Arabidopsis thaliana: one gene and its partners. The protein of the gene in region 1 interacts with the protein of each later gene in a pairwise test. Each region holds a gene or a part of one and is shown on either strand. Other genes may lie near its edges. The genes, in order: AT5G01200, AT1G10820 and AT1G68160.

What was found.
Region 2: the proteins of AT5G01200 (region 1) and AT1G10820 interact in a two-hybrid assay, tested with the Arabidopsis thaliana proteins (one study listed by BioGRID).
Region 3: the proteins of AT5G01200 (region 1) and AT1G68160 interact in a two-hybrid assay, tested with the Arabidopsis thaliana proteins (one study listed by BioGRID).

The regions. Positions count from the first base shown.
Region 1 is NC_003076.8:74,864-79,160, reverse strand, and holds AT5G01200 (Duplicated homeodomain-like superfamily protein), read right to left. Parts: upstream 2,290-4,297; 5' UTR 2,046-2,289; coding exon 1,585-2,045; intron 1,210-1,584; coding exon 867-1,209; 3' UTR 618-866; downstream 1-617.
Region 2 is NC_003070.9:3,600,363-3,606,941, reverse strand, and holds AT1G10820 (hypothetical protein (DUF3755)), read left to right. Parts: upstream 1-1,883; 5' UTR 1,884-2,153; intron 2,154-2,258; 5' UTR 2,259-2,291; coding exon 2,292-2,506; intron 2,507-2,920; coding exon 2,921-3,020; intron 3,021-3,886; coding exon 3,887-3,943; intron 3,944-4,482; coding exon 4,483-4,588; intron 4,589-4,691; coding exon 4,692-4,774; intron 4,775-4,964; coding exon 4,965-5,026; intron 5,027-5,132; coding exon 5,133-5,229; intron 5,230-5,448; coding exon 5,449-5,505; 3' UTR 5,506-6,032; downstream 6,033-6,579. Other genes in the region: Z-ISO (15-cis-zeta-carotene isomerase), read left to right, coding at 1-127, 232-441, 871-1,206; AT1G10810 (NAD(P)-linked oxidoreductase superfamily protein), read right to left, coding at 6,185-6,520.
Region 3 is NC_003070.9:25,545,256-25,550,877, reverse strand, and holds AT1G68160 (ZZ-type zinc finger protein, putative (DUF3755)), read left to right. Parts: upstream 1-1,983; 5' UTR 1,984-2,252; coding exon 2,253-2,533; intron 2,534-2,635; coding exon 2,636-2,735; intron 2,736-3,126; coding exon 3,127-3,183; intron 3,184-3,324; coding exon 3,325-3,442; intron 3,443-3,985; coding exon 3,986-4,068; intron 4,069-4,147; coding exon 4,148-4,209; intron 4,210-4,284; coding exon 4,285-4,354; intron 4,355-4,659; coding exon 4,660-4,710; 3' UTR 4,711-5,120; downstream 5,121-5,622. Other genes in the region: WRKY9 (WRKY DNA-binding protein 9), read right to left, coding at 5,263-5,574.

The DNA of each region.
Region 1 (4,297 bases):
TGGTGCGACTTCATATTATACTCTTTTGTATCTCTATTTTTAAGAGGTCGTAATCCTAATACTGTAGTTTACAACTTTTTGCAATTTATGAATTTAACATTTTAGTAGACTCCAAATCACCGGTACACTCCAAATCACTACTGGGCTTGAAAATCATGGATTTTTACGGGGTTTAAGGGATCTTATTGGGGCACAGTTTAATGGGCATTAACTATTTCTTCTTCTTTGGGCTTTGTAAGCCGACGTTGTTTTTTTGTTTTCCCTTTTCTTTTCGTTTTTTTTAGTTAAACAAAAAAAAAACAAATTGAAAGCTCGAAGCATTTGGGACGCAACACCCGTCAGGTTCATGATAATAATTGGAGGTAAATGGAACCACGAAAATGGAATATAATTCTTCTGTTATGTTGAACGATCAGCGAAGCCATGGGAAGAATATTAAGTAAAAAAGTAGTATTTAATAGTCAGATCCTTCGTCAGTTTTACTTTTAATTTGAACAAAAAAAAACTGAATTAGATGCTGATTCGAACTAATCCTAAGTTGTCGGGAAGAAAAAGCGACTCACACCAAGCATTGACATTAAAGTCAACGGTATTTACATTATAATTATATGATTATTAAAGAATATAGTATGTAAAGTCACACATATATATATATATATATATATATCATATATATATATCATATATTGGTATTATAAAACTCGGAACACTGAAAATTACAACCAACCAGACCTAATATATGGACAGCAGAATCACACAAACCTTTTCATACAAATATTTACAACAATTCTGCAGTAATATGTACGTAGAAAATGTATGTAACAAATCTATAGGAGACCACAAACTCTAGATAATTTCTAAGTGATTTAACTCCACTGCGGAAACGCATTATAATAGCTAGACGCAGACGCAGACGCGAAACTGTAATGAGGATTTGGCTGAAGGAAAACGTCAAAAGAATTGGCTGGAGTAGGAGAGAGTGCTACGTCAGCGGTCGTGGCGGTTGCGGATGCGTCTGCGTCAGGGATGTTAACAGTGGTGATATCGTGAATACTTGATCGTCTTTTGTCTTTACCATCTGTGAGTTGTCGAAGAAAATATTTCTGAGCGTGTGAAGCGACTTGCGTCGGCGTTCGAGTCGTCACAAAGCTTTTTGCTATGTTTCTCCAATCTCCTTTTCCATATTTCTTCAAACCCATCAGAAATCGTCTGTCAAACAAAGAAAAGTAAATCAATATTATATTTAGTTAACTTCACATAAGATAAATAATTTCAAGAAAGTATTTGAAAATAGATATAAATTGTAAGAAAAGTATAAATCCTAGGCATTTTAATTATCAAAAGAAATATTCTCCTCAGTGAGTTCATATAAAAACAGAGAATTTCAAGTAAATATTAATAAAAGAGATATATTTACCTCAAAATACCACAAAACAAGATTTAGTTCCAAAATTATTTACCAAAATAAACAAATTGTTAGGCTTAGAAACTTAAATTCTATAGTATTATAACATAAAATATCGATTTTTTTAGAACAAATCTTTATAACATTAATTAGAAGTAGTGAAGAAATTTGGTAGTTACAGGTGTTCGTCCTCGGTCCACGGAACTCCTTTCTTCCTCTCCTTTTCCGGCATCGGAGACCTAAAACAATCAGTCATCGCCGGCGAACTCCTCTTTCCTCCAACGACGTAATCATAACCGTAGCTGGAGTTTTCTAGACCAAAGAAATAGTCACTGTTTGCAGCGGAGGAGGCGTCGCCGCCGTATCCCGGAATGGGGATAAGTCCGGCTTCGATGTCGCTGACATCATCCTCTAGCTCCTTGTATCGTTTAATGACGTCAGCTACTGTTTTGCCGGGAATCAAATCTGCGATCTTGGACCAGCTCTCAAGATTGTCTTTGTCGTCCAGATAAGCGAGAGCTTTCTCGAACCGTTTGTTCTCCTCCGCCGTCCACGTGGCTTCTCTGACTTCTTGAAAAATCCAGTTTGTGTTTGCCGGTGAAAACATATTAACTCCTCTGTACATCGTCGACGATGACATAGCTCCTCCTCTGTTTTTGGTGAAAACTTTCGTTTTTTTCTCTAAATTTTAGAAGAGGACAAAAAACAGAGAGTGAAGAAGAGAGTCTTGAGTGACCAAGGCAAAAAAAAAAAGAAACGACTTTATTTTCAGAAATCTCTCGAGAAAAATTATTACATGGAGAAAATGAAGAGAGCATAAAGTGGATCTCTTTGGTCGTAAACGAAAAGGAAAACACAAAAGTGGATTTTGCTTTTTTATTTTATTTTTCTATATTTCACGTGATGATCAATAGGAATAATAATACATTCAACAGGAAAAGGTGTATAAAAAAGTGTTTTTTTAAAAGAAAAAATTGAGGAAAAAGTTACAGAGATATTTGTTTTTGTTTTGCCTATGTCAAATGATTTATAAAAAATATATTTTAGTTGTTGCAATCTAAGTCGGCCAGTAGAAATATGACAACTCAGTAGTGAATGTTTCTTATAAGCTATATTTTAATATTTTTTTTAACCTAAGGTCAGATAAATACTTTTAGTATGGCTTATCTATGTGATAATTAGCATATTTGTTTTCTGCTAATATGATAAATCATATAAAATTGAAATGGGATTAAGACTAACCAAATGCACGTGTCGATACATGAAAGAAAGTATAACATAATTTCTATTTTATGACAAAGAAGGTGTAACCAATAAAATGAAAAAGACCAGAAAACGACTGTTCAATGGTTTGGCCGGTTCTTAATTTGTTGTTTAATCAAGAACATAATAATATTTAACTAAAGAGCTTATTTGTCAACACGAAATAGCCCATTCAATATATAATAACACAACCATAACTCCATAAGCTAAACAAATATACAAAAACAAGTTGGAATATTACACCTTCGAAAATTACGTATTTAATTAATTTTTGGCTGGCAAACAATTTGTTTTTTAACGTATTTGTACTTTTCATTTATTTTGTTGTAAATAAACTTCATTTTGTTAATTAATCTATTTAACTTTAAAAAAAAAGTAGAGATCATACAAATATGCGAATTAAACAATGGGATTCGATGGCAAAAACTGCAGAACCGTTGTACAAGTGGGTTAGGTGGTGATCTTAATTAACCTTTAAATAAATTCAAAAGAAAAACTTTGAACAGAAGCCAGAGCTGGATGTAACCAAAGATATTTTCTTTAGTGTATCACAGTTTCAAATTTAGTATTGGTTATTTTATGTTTATTCATATAAGGCAAGATAATACGAAGAATGTATGTGTCGGGTGCTTTCATATCGTAACAAAAGTTCATATATTAATGTCTCACCACGACACCACCTCATGTGGACGGTACCACAGCTCCACTTCTAGCCAATTGAATAATTTAAATTTGGTAAAAGTATAAAGCATTGCAACCAATTATTATAGCCAACTGTCAAACATTTTCACAAACTCATGTATTTTTGTCTTTCAGAACTATTTTTAAAAAAAACTCGAAAAAATAGTTGACTAAGATTTAACTATTTGCAATACCCGGTTCAGGAAACAAATGATAGACGGTTTAAAATTTCGTATTCAAGATCCCGAAAGCATGTGTGATTAAGAACCAAAAAAAAGTATAAAGTATAATTATAATTAAACACTAGTTAAATCAGCCATGAAGAATGAAATTTGGATATTTCGATACGATGAAATACACAGAAAAATAGTTATCAGGAGTAATTAAATAAGGTAGGGACAACAAAGGAAGCCAATACCGAATTCTCCCTATAGTGTCGCTCACATGCATGATGAAACGTAAACTGTAAGTGTCATCTGCTGATTTGTAGCAGACACAAGGTTTCTGTTCCACAGAGAGTGACTTCTTCTTGGATTCTATATTTAGCAAGATTCTCTTACTATAATTAGTAAATTACTCCTTTTTCTGTCGAATTTATTACTCTTGCTTCGTTTTATTTCATTTCTATCGTTTTATGAGGAGTATTTTGTTTTTTTCTTTCTCGTTTTCTTTTAATATTGGAAATGTGACATTGCACCTACTCATTCAAAATTCGACGACAGATGAATTCTGCTTTGATAACGACTTTTTGGAAGAAAAAAAAGACTGTTTTTTTTAGTTTATCGAGTCATTAGTAGACACGTTTAAACTTTAGGTGAAAATTAAGTTCGAAATACTATTTTGTTTTACCAACTAACCGATCACTTAATTAGTTCAGTCTTGTCTTATAACTAGGTCTAACATTTTTTTTTTTCAAGTATGGTATTGCGTTTTGAACATTTTTTATTA
Region 2 (6,579 bases), on another chromosome or scaffold:
CCTTATATTTGCAATTGTACATAGTGGTTTAGCTAGTCTAAGGGATATAGGAGAGAAACTTATAGGTGAACGAGCATTTCGTGTTTTGTTTGCTGGAATCTCTCTTCCTTTAGCTATGAGCACCATTGTGAGTACTCTCTCTTCTAACTCTGCAATTTTTCTCCTGATCAATGGTATAAATACCTGTTTGATGTCTCTTATGGTCTATGCAATGCCTTGTTCTTCTTTCAGGTTTACTTTATAAACCATAGATATGATGGGTCACAGTTATGGCAGCTTCAGGGTGTTCCTGGAGTCCATGAAGCTATTTGGGTCGCTAATTTTGTATCCTTCTTCTTTCTCTATCCTTCAACCTTCAATCTTCTGGAGGTAGCAGCTGTTGACAAACCGAAGATGCATCTCTGGGAGACCGGCATCATGAGAATCACTCGACATCCTCAGGTTTTGAACATTTCCCTAATGTGCCTAAACATGAAGACAATTTCCTTCATTTTTGTGTTTCAAAAATACAGAAAGATTGGATTTTTATGAGCCAAGGTTTATTAGTGGCTGTGTTAATGAGACCCCCAATCATTGAATCAATTATGGGCAGGTATTGGCCATTGACTTAAATACACCCATTACATCAGCACAATCAAATCTCCTCATCCTTCTATGTTTATTACATCAATGCTTGATTACTTTACTTGATATTGCTTTTGATCTTAAAATTCTTATCCAATTGCTTCATCATGTGTTTGGAAAAACTTGATAATATATAGAAAGATAGGCATTTTAGCTTCAGTTTTGGTTTGTTCTATTCTCTCTTCATTATACTGGCTTTGTTAATGAGACTTGATTGTTGCACCTCTCTCCTCTGATCTTCTCCAGATGGTTGGACAAATCGTTTGGTGTTTAGCACATACTCTCTGGATCGGAAACACAGTAGCTGCATCAGCTTCTCTCGGTTTGATTGCACACCATTTGTTTGGGGCGTGGAATGGAGACAGGAGATTGGCAAAAAGATATGGAGAGGATTTTGAAAGCATCAAGAAGAGAACAAGTGTGATTCCATTTGCTGCCATTTTCGAAGGACGGCAAGTTTTACCTGAGGATTACTACAAAGAATTTGTCAGGTTGCCATATCTTGCAATCACTGCGTTAACGGTTGGGGCATATTTTGCTCACCCGCTAATGCAAGGTGCAAGCTTTAGGCTTCATTGGTAAATTATATGTCATGCTTTAGGCTTCATTGGTAAATTATATGTCATTTATGTTTGTTTGTTTCCTGCAGTGTTCATAAAGACTTGTTAAGGAACAAATGTATACAAAAAGCCATATTGTTTGTGATACTTGACTCTTCTTCATTTCTCGATTATTTTGGCTCAACACTCTGTAACCACTATGTGTGAGTTCGATCCAACAAGTGGGTTTAGATTAGTATTAACTAGGAATGTTTAATAGTACTGCTAAATGAATATTTAGGTAAAACTATTTTGTATATAAATTCCCACTCAGATGTCATGGGTCACTCTGACGCCTACCACTATACTAATAGAAGTAAATTTTTCTTTTTTCGATGTTTAGTTACAATCGGAAAATGAATCTAAATTTTAACTAATATTAATAATATGCCAAGATCTCCATCCAAATCTAGATTGATATCTACATATTGATGCCTTGATATCTCTAAACTCTAAAGATAAACTTAAAGGCAAGTGATTAATTGTTAACTAAAATTAAAAATTAACAATACAATTTTAATTCGCTAGTTATAAAAATTTTATTACCAAGAAGAATATGGAAAAAAAGGAATTGGAGGCAAAAAAAAAAAAAAAAAAAAAAAAAGAGGCCAAAAGAAAAGAAAGCAAAGGAGTATGAATACAACAAAGAGGTTCTGCAAGAAACAAACAACACAGCCAATTACTACTAAACAAACACACTCTCTCTTTCATTCTTTCTCTCTCTCTCTCTCTCGATTTTCTCCCATTGGAGTTCGCAATTAGCTGCCACTCTCTGATCGATCTTCTTCTCACATCACATCCTTTATAATCTTCAGTTCTACTGCTCGGAGGTGTTTGCTTGCGTTCTCTCTTGTCGGTCACATCCCTAATTACCATCACTGCCCCTGATTAAAGTTTTACTCTATCTTCTTTGTTGATGCCAAATCTGAGGTGGGTTTCTCATCTTTTTATTCTTTCAGCTGTGTTTTGTTTCATTTATTTGTTTCTGGATTTGCTAAAACCCTAAATTTGATATCTTTGGGGGCATCATCGTAGCTCAAATCAGCTTCAATTATCAAATCTCCACGAATGATTCCAATGGATAATCACTGCTTGCCAAGTACTAGCACCACCGGTCTTGTATTCCCGACCAATTACGGTGTTAATGCGATTAACGCTTCCTCCGGTTTTCACCCAGCTGTGGATGCTTCGGGTTCAGTGGCTGCAGGAGTCAAACAAGAAGCTGCTTTGGTTATGGATTGGTCCGTTGAGGAACAGTATGTTTTGGAGAACGGCCTTGCAAAGTAGGTATCTTCGTTTCTGCTTAATTCTTTGGATATTTCCATTTCTTATTTTTTTAATATCCTAAATGTGTCTTTGTTCATTCGTAGCTTTTCAAACTATGCTTATATTTTTACAATAACAATACATAAAAGTTGAAATCGGGAATTGTTTTATCAGAAAAGTAGTAGTGGGAACATTATATTCTCAATGGTGGACTATTAAAGTATGTTCCTTTGTTCCTTCTGATTATAAAAGTATCGCCTTTGTGTGTTCCATGACATTGTTTTCTGGGACTGGGACCATTAGTAAGTTCGGGTTAAGTTATCGATTTTCTAGCTGAGGTTGTTCCTGGTTACTTTGGTTTTCTAGAGTCTGTAGCTTGTTTGTTCTATTTGTTTGCATTTATGACATCTTTATTTTTTTTCCGTTTGTAGATTAAAAGATGAACCCAAAATTTCAAAGTATGTAAAGATCGCTGCAACTCTACCGGATAAAACTGTAAGGGATGTAGCATTGAGGTGTAGATGGATGACGGTAAGTTGGTTAAGCTTCCTTGAGCTATGTGCATACTTCCTGTTGTTTATGTGCTTTTGCTTAGATGACAAGAAAAATTACCACTCTAGACGTCTCTCAAGGATATTTCTTTTGCTAGGGAATTACTTAGTTGTCTCTAGCATTCCTTTTCAAGTGGTATGTGGCTGTTATGGAAGGATTTTTGTTGAAGGATATTTCTGTCACTGTTAAAAGCATATGCTAAATATGAGGGAATCAGCATGATGATGCAATCTTGCGTGTGTGCTTTGTGATAAAGATAAAGTCCTACAAAAAAAGCTAGCGGTTTTATTGATGAAAAGTCATTGACATGTCGTAAAGATTGTCTAAACACTGGTAAAGGACGAGCAAAAAGAGAAAATGACAAGTATTGCTGACGCTAGATTAGTCTTTATATTAGCTTTCGAGTCCATGATTGTGGAGGAATTATTGGAAAAGGAAATAAGCCTAACGCTTTTTGTTAATTATTTCTGTAGTTATCCTCACATAGATTTTACTTTTACGGGTGATGGCTGAGACTGATCCCTATACTTTTATGGTTTTTTTTTTAAAATGATTATATTGCTCGCAGCATGAGTTTACATACATCATAATGTTAATTGTTTGCATAATAATGAAATGAATTAATGAAGTACAAATGTACAATGCTTTATTATCATCATATTTCCATCTCCTTCATGTCTCTGTCCTTTCATAATTGACTTGAGTTTTCAATCAGATATATGATGTAATCAAACATAAAGCTGCAAAATTACTCCGTTTTCTTTTAATTTAGTGCTTGTTTGCCACCAGATATCTATCATGGTCTTTAAAGTTCTCTTGGCTAAGTCGGGTATCTATTTTCACAGAGAAAACGGAGGAAACGAGAGGATAATAATGCCGCTAAGAACATTAGCACTAGGAAGGTATGCTTGCCCACCTCAACCTTTCTTGTGTCGTATTTACCAGTTAATAAGTCGATGGAGGTAGGTGCCTCATTTACGTTTTGGGTTAAACGGGATTTTCCCACAGATGTGACTTTTATTCATGCAAGTCTGAGCTAACGATGGTATTTTTCAACGAAGAAACTGTAATTGGCTAAATTGCTTGTATGGTGGACTTTTCATGAGAACATATTTTGTTAGTTCCTGACTAAGAAAAAGGACTGTCTGCATGACTGGACAATCAATAAAGTTTGTGATCGATTTTTCAATGACTGACGAGCAGCAAATGATGTTGATCCAACTCTGCAGAAGTATTAGCATATATTACTTATGAGTATCTGAGCTTGTGGGCATGTTTATAATGATAATTATAAGGTAATCTAGTGATTGTTATGACATTTGATAAAGGGTTAGTGTGTGTGTTTCATTTCATGCACATTCTCCTTCCTGGGTCTTATGAACTTCTGTAGATCAATATGCTTTTAAACTTGGTTCTAAAGACCATGCTTCTTCATGGTAAGGTGGTGGATACATCCCCAGAACTGAACATGCTATCCAATGTGCCACAACAAAATGCTTTATATGTCCTGAACAATATGTGCCACAGTACACGCACGCCTTTCGAAGGTCTAGTGCTCTTTTAATTCTTTGCTCTTCTTCTGGGTTGTGTGGTCTTAAAAATAAACAAAATCAAATTGTCAGCTAGGTACTTTTGTTGAACTATTCGCAGGTTTAAGTGACGCAGTAATGGATCTTCTACAGCAAAATGCTCAAGCTTTTAGTCAGATTTCTTACAACCTCTCTGCGTGCAAGGTAATTTATACTTGCAATCCTTTGTGGCTAGTTGTGCGAGAAGATTGACAGACTGAAACTGTCATACAAGTTTGATCAAACATTGTATACCAGATTTCCTACATGCTCAGTTATTCTTTAGAAAATAATTTGATACTGTTTCCTTTTGCAAAGTAATTCGCACATAGATATGCTAACTTAGTGCATACAGCTGCAGGATAACATCAGTCTCTTTCATCAGGCAAGAAACAATATCAGCGCCATTTTGACTGAGTATGTGGATCTAATACTAATTCAATTTTCACAATTGAGACATCTCATCTGTCTTCCTTTCTATAATTTAAACCTTCAATTGCTAAATTCTTAGTTTCTTCTGCAGCATGAAGGAGATGCCTGGAATCATGAGTCGGATGCCGGCTCTACCGGTTTCAATTAATGATGATCTTGCAAGCAATCTATTGTCGAGTACAACACAGGTAATATATTTTGCTACATATGTCAAAATAGCTAATCCTGAAAAGTTCGCCATGTGACCTCAAATAATTAGAGCTTCTTGACCCAAAAAGTGAAACATATTAAGATATAAATATGAACATAGAAACCATTAATGTTTTTTAGTTTTATTGATCTCTTGAGGATTTCTCTTGGAAGCTGGCCATGCCTGATGTTTAGTGGATTGTTTCCCTGTCTCACAGCCAATATCGTACAACATTCCACCAAGCATCCACCTGAAGCAAGAGCCAAGAAGTTGATGGGGAAATCCGGATTTTGACCGATACTAAAGTAAATAGTACAAGAGCCTGGTACGTGGCAGTATTTCCGTGGACGACATGGCAATGTTTATCAACTGCAGACACCGCTTCAGAACATGAGATTCAACAATCAGTATTGGTAAAATCCTTTTGCCCTCGGGTAATTTGACAGAGAAGAATGAATTAGACTCCTTCTAAAGCCAAGGTAAAACTCTTTGATACGAACAAAATGCTTTGGCCGTAATTCGATCATAGGATTCCTTGCAATTCGTAGAAGACGGCATAGGTTGATAGAACTCAAAAGTCTTTTGCTGTAATCTTCTTGTTGAGGCTTAAATTAGTATAGTGACAGTTCTTTTGAGTGGTATTCAGAGGCCGGTTATGTGTAACACAAGTTCTAGTTAAGGTAATAATTTATCATCCTCTAGGTACGTATACGTTATCTTCATGGTTTAAGTCGTGATGTGACACAAATCATTGTATATACGCATTGTCACCTGTCTCAATTCATTGTTATAATGTTTGCAGAATCTTCAGTCCTTATTAGAGATTTACTTTTAAAAAGTTTCATTAATTTCAGACAGAAACAGACAAACAATAATGTAGCTTAAAGACGATGATGAAAAGTAGTTCAGAACATAGCTCAGCACGATGGCAGAGTAAAACTATTACAGATGGTTTATGAAGTCCAAGAAGACAGTGGTGGAGTTTCAGAATTCTTGTAAGTAACTATATAGGTGGCTGACCTTTCCCCTTTCACAGAATCGGGATGTCCCATGGCGTCAAGCTCGGCCATCTCTTCGATACTGAGTTTCACAGATAAAGCTCCTATGTTCTGATTAAGGTTTTTGATCTTAGAGGTTCCTGGGATTGGGCAGACATCATTTCCTTGGTGATGAACCCATGCCAAAGCTAATTGTGCAGGAGTACAGCTTTTCTTCTCTGCCATTGCATTGACCTTCTCATAGAGAATCTTGTTGTGGTCTAAGTTCTCTTGCTGGAATCTCGGTAAACCCTGAAATTAAGAGATGGTGAATGTGCTTAATACTCGGCTCTTTTCTTGAATGTACTTAA
Region 3 (5,622 bases), on another chromosome or scaffold:
CACGAACATAGTTCTAGTAACGTACGTCAGTTGTGTGTTATAACTCAGTATACACCGTTACTTTAAAGTTATACAGATGAATTATCTCTGACAATTTTACACTTTTGAGATTTTCTTTAGTGGAACAAACTTTAATTATATATAGCTTCTAATTTTATTTTATTTTCTAATTTCTAAACATATTACGAAAAATTAATATGAGAGAGTGGTTTCAGCAAAATTAGCTAGGACTTACTTACATGATGAGGACTATATATATGAGAAAAAAACTGTGAATTAAGGTTGGGATTAAAGTCTTAAAGAAACCAAAAGCAGGGATAATGTAGAAATTTGGAGATGCTAAGGCCACAAGTTAATAGTTGAGACTTGATAGATATGATAACTTATTTGTTTTGTTTTTTGTTTTTTTTGTAGTTAATAACATTGTAAATCAGTAAAACCAAAATCTAGTTCCTGCCAACAATTTTGAAATTAAAATGTATGGATCACCTTAATGAGCGAAAGAGTGCATCAAGTCCAACAACAAAGTCTTTCTCTTCTTCATAACATAATGTTCGGAGTTAAATTAACTTGAATGAAACAAATCTTTAATTAATTATATTGATTTGCATTATTAGGAAACTGTTCAGATTAGCCTACCAAAAAAAAGGAAACTGTATTACTGTTAGTGGAGCAAGTATAATGTGCAGTTTATTGGGCTCATAGCATTTTAGAGCCCAAATTTATTCGTTTCTTAAGCAAAATCTTAAATGCGTATAAAATTAGTCTTTTACAAATATAGCATGTGGCCCAATATAAACGTCAGGCCTGATAATATGTTTAAGTGTCCATGACTTTTAACATGTTTCATTTGATAAGCATTTTTTACCAGAAGCTTATGTTAATTCACTTATACGGGTTGGGGATAATGAAAATTGAATTTGGACTAATAGAGCATACATCAATCGAGGAAAATTGCAACGACAAAGAAACGACGGTACATCAATTTTACCTTAGTAAAATCTTGATAAGATTTGAAGTGTGAGTTAATAACAAATTTTAAAAAACCTAACTTATCTAGTGAAAAAAAATGAAAATTATAAAAGCTGATGGCATTTAGATAGTAAACAGAAATCAAAATTGTTAAGTGATAGTAGTCTTGTTGCAAATGATAAGTCCACTGAGAACATGACATCGAGGATCGAGTCTCGCTCCTTATAAATGTTGACAAAAAAAAACAGAAATCAAAACATCATTTTGGTGTATGAATATATTTCTTGATCTATTTAGTGTATCAATAATTTCTTAAATATCAAAAAAAAAAAAAAAAACTCTTCATCGATTTTTATATGCTTGCTTCTGTTATTGGTTCATAACTATGAGTCCAATTATTTTCATAGTCGCATATAATTGTAAAAGTATTGTACGAACGGATCAGTTTATCCCACAATTATTGAGATGCTAAGATTAATTTTTGTATTAACATAAAGAAAAAATATGAATCAAATTCATATATCTTGAGATTTTGACAACGAGGATGTCACACATTGACATTATTAGAAAACAAAAAAAAAAAAAAAAAATCTTGTCTACTTGATAAAACTTTTTGGAATAAAAAAAGTGAGGTAGAAGAAAGAAAGGCATCAAATGCTTTATTATTGGGATTCGCACTATTTACTAAATTCCACGATCTGCCAACCATCTCTTTTATTTATTTACCTATTTTCTTATTTTTTTCTACTAATTTTGGTAGTAAAAAAAAAAAAATGAATATGTTCTTAGTCATATCTCTCCCTTCAATTTAGGAAGAGAATCTTTTCTAAAATTCCCCATTCCTACTTACTTTTATAGTCAAAATCCATTTTTTTCCATTTCAACTAATTGTGTTGGAAAATAATTAATATTAGATTTCAATTAAGTTTATCATCAATATGGTGAAAAGTCATAAAGTAATGTATTAATAATTTTTTCATTATTTGTCTAAAAATCCTTCATTGGCTTATAGCTTACAAGGCTGCTCTGTCTAATATACAGAGGACAAGAGAAAAAAAAAAAAAGAAAAAAAAAATTGTGATTTGGTAAACAAAATCAAATTTTGGTTTCTTTGTGAGAACTTAACTTAGGGTTTATAAAGTTCCAAGCTTTATCCATGGCGTAAGATGATTCACCTTCTCAAAGTTTGATCCTTTTTTCATATCTGATCAAAGGAGAGTTTTGGGTTTGATTTCTAATTGTTAAAGTTTTAATCTTTTTATTTGGGTTTGTGTTCGATTATGTGGATGGCTACTCAATCAAATTCTGGGTTCGATTCTTTGAGTTCTATGATGAGTCGTCACGCTATTAATTTCCAATCTAACACTTCTTCGGAGATGACTCCAATGAGTCCGTACTTGGGGATGAATATGAATATGATCAATGTTGGTTCTCCTGGTTTTCTTCAAACCGGGAATTCTTCGAATGGTTCCGATTCGGGTTCTGGTCTAAAGCTTGATACTTCCATGGTTAGTGAATGGTCAAATGAAGAACAATACATATTGGATGCTGGTCTTGAAAAGTGAGTCTTTCTTGTTTTGTGATTTCTTAACATTAATGAGGATATGAAGATAGTTTTTTGTTCTGTGGAATTTGATATGATCTGATTCTGTGTTTTTTGTAGATATAAGGATATGCCAAGTATTGATATGTATATTCAAATTGGAAACACTTTACCTGATAAAAGTATTCGAGATATTGCTTTGCGGTGTAGGTGGCTGAGGGTAAGTATCTCTCTTCACATATCTGCCTTGTTCTGACGGTTTTTGTAGCTTTCTTGTGACCATTTTTCAGTCATGTAGTTCTACGCTTATGCCATGAATGATATATGTATAGCAAAGAAAAATGATACACAGGGAACAGTTTCTACATGTTCTGATTTCATACATAGCTTCTTAAACTACAGTACACAGAATGAAATGGTTTTGCCTTAGGATGGACTTTTTGGTCTTATTGATGCCTGAGTTGTATCAATATTGAGTTCTTGAGATGAGAATAGTGAGCATAACAGTCTTTGAGTTTTGAACAAAATCTTCTCTTCTCTTATATACTGAATCATTTCTTACTTTTACCTTTTGTCTTCGTCTGTTGATGTACTGACTTTGTTTTGCATAGAGAAAGAGAAGAAAATCAGAAGAATTAAACTGTGGAAGAAGAGCAAGTTCTAGCAAGGTATATTGGAAATTCTTGCCATTTGTTCAATTTTGATGAGTGACTTTTTTGTAAGTTCGATTGAAAGATGATGCTAGGATTGAGATTGAATATCTTTTGATTAATTTAGGTTTTTGTACTAAAAGATTTATATTTCTTCAGGGCAAGCAGGTGGAATCGTCGTCTAAGTCAAGCATTCCCTCTGTTTTGCCTCATAACATGGCTTCATATCCTTTCTCAGGGCCATCTACAAGCACCAGTAAACAAATTACGTCTGAAGGTTAACATCTATCTTTATCTGAGAGATTTCCACCTGAATTTGCTAACTCCAGGTCTTTTTTTTCATTGACATGCACACATTAACATCATATTTTGTTTTCAAAAGGAGGCAATACGTTTTGATGTATGTATTATGGTGCAAATGTCGTTTAAGTATGTATTTTGTTATATAAATAAGTTCATAGGGGATTAGTGTATTTCAGCTAGACTTTTAGCTTCTTGGGACGATGCTAACATAACTACGTCTCTAAAGTAGTTTAGTCTTGGAAGAAGCCTTTACCCATAGATACTGAAATTGGTTTCTTAACTGCATTGTCCTTCTCTAGAGGTGCATTCTTGAGATTATTTATTTCATACATCTAGTAAAGGAGTATAATGACTATTGTATGTTTAAATGGTGAAATTCTATTTAAGTCCGCTCTCTGATCCTATTACCTTGTAAAGATGATCCTTTAAGCTCTCTTTCATATGAAGTTTTGTTGAAGTCACAATAATCTTTAGTCTCTTTTCTTTTCTTACTGATTCTTTCGTGGTTCTGTTTCAGATTTAAGTAGCTATGCAACAAATCTTATAGAACAGAATGTACGAGCTTTTAGTCAAATTAGAGCTAATCTCTCCTCATATAAGGTAAGTTCTAGATTACCTTGTTTAAAGGAATGCAAATGTGTTCTTGCTAAAACCGCTCCGTAATGATAATTGCAAACAGGCAGGGGATAACCTAGATCTCTTTCGTCAGGCAAGGAACAACCTTATCACCATCCAAAATGAGTAAGTTGATACTTTAAACATTTTGTGTATAAGTTTTGTGGAGCTTAGTGACCAGACGTTGTCTTGATTTGGCAGGATAAATAATATGCCTGGATTGATGAACAAGATGCCACCATTGCCAGTCACAATCAATGATGATCTCTCGGTGAGTAATACTACTTTAGTAAGTTAATAGGCTGCTCACTTTTGCATTAACAGTCCATTGTTTTAGATATCAAAATGTCCACATCACCCATTTGCTTGTTTTACCTCAGACACTACCGTAGTTCAAACCCCATATCTCTGGTTCAAGTGCTCAAAATATAGAATTATTGTGCTTCTAACTAGCTGAGTATCTTAAGACCAGTTTTTCAATGTTTTGGTTTGTAGAAATGTCTATCAAGAGCAAATAGAGCAGAAGAATAATAGCTTCCCAATATCAATGACTTTGGTTTCCTCGATTTGTACCAGGTGATGATGCCATTCAATACGATGCAAAGTGGCGGCTTCCATAGGAAGTAGAAGTCTTAGGAAATCATCTGGTTTCCCTTAGTTACCTGTAAATTATCCTAAAGAAGCTGGAGGAGGTAAAAAAAAGCTCATCAAATGTTGGGAAGTTTGTAGAAATGTGATTCTTTCGTAACACCAACGATCTTTATTGCTGCGCGGGATGTTGAAACAAGACATAATATAACGAATGTAGGGGTTCTTGGTCCTGGCTCCTAACTAAAAAACCTTCTTAACAAGTTCTATTAGATAAACTTAGTTCAATTAGTGTCTTGGAGAATTTCTAAGCGATCGATGTGTATAAAAAAAGATTCTATTGAAGAGCGTGTTGAGATTTGCATCTTTAATCTTTTGATCTTTTGGTGTGTTGTTTTGGTACCCATTTTTTCTTAGCATTAATCAATCTTTATTTTTCATAAGCCAACATTGAACGAAATAAAACAATCCGAAACCTTCGATGTTGTATATACGAAACATAAATGTTAGAAACGAGAACAAGAAGAAAGGCAAAGAATCCATAATGACAAATAATGGGACCAAAGAACAAGCATAGAGATATAGGAAACTCTACATCATCCAATTTAATCGGTTTTGAGAAGATGAAACGTGATCTCCTCTAGATGGACCATCAAAGTTCAAGCTTCTTATGGTTCGATTGTTGTAGCTGCTATTTTGTGGGTATGTAATCAAAGAAGAGTCTATGGCTTGAGGAGTTTGGTAATAGGAAGGATGAGAGAGGTTGTCACTGGAATCGAGTAACAAGAATGGAGAAGTAGAGGCAGTGGAAGCCATGGCTGTTGCTCCGACCGGAAGTGGATGGTTATGTGTTCCTTCGTAGGTTGTTATCAGTATTGACATGTCTTCTAAACACCTTTGCACCTTCACAATGTAACAAATCTCATTATCAACTATATATATATACATAGT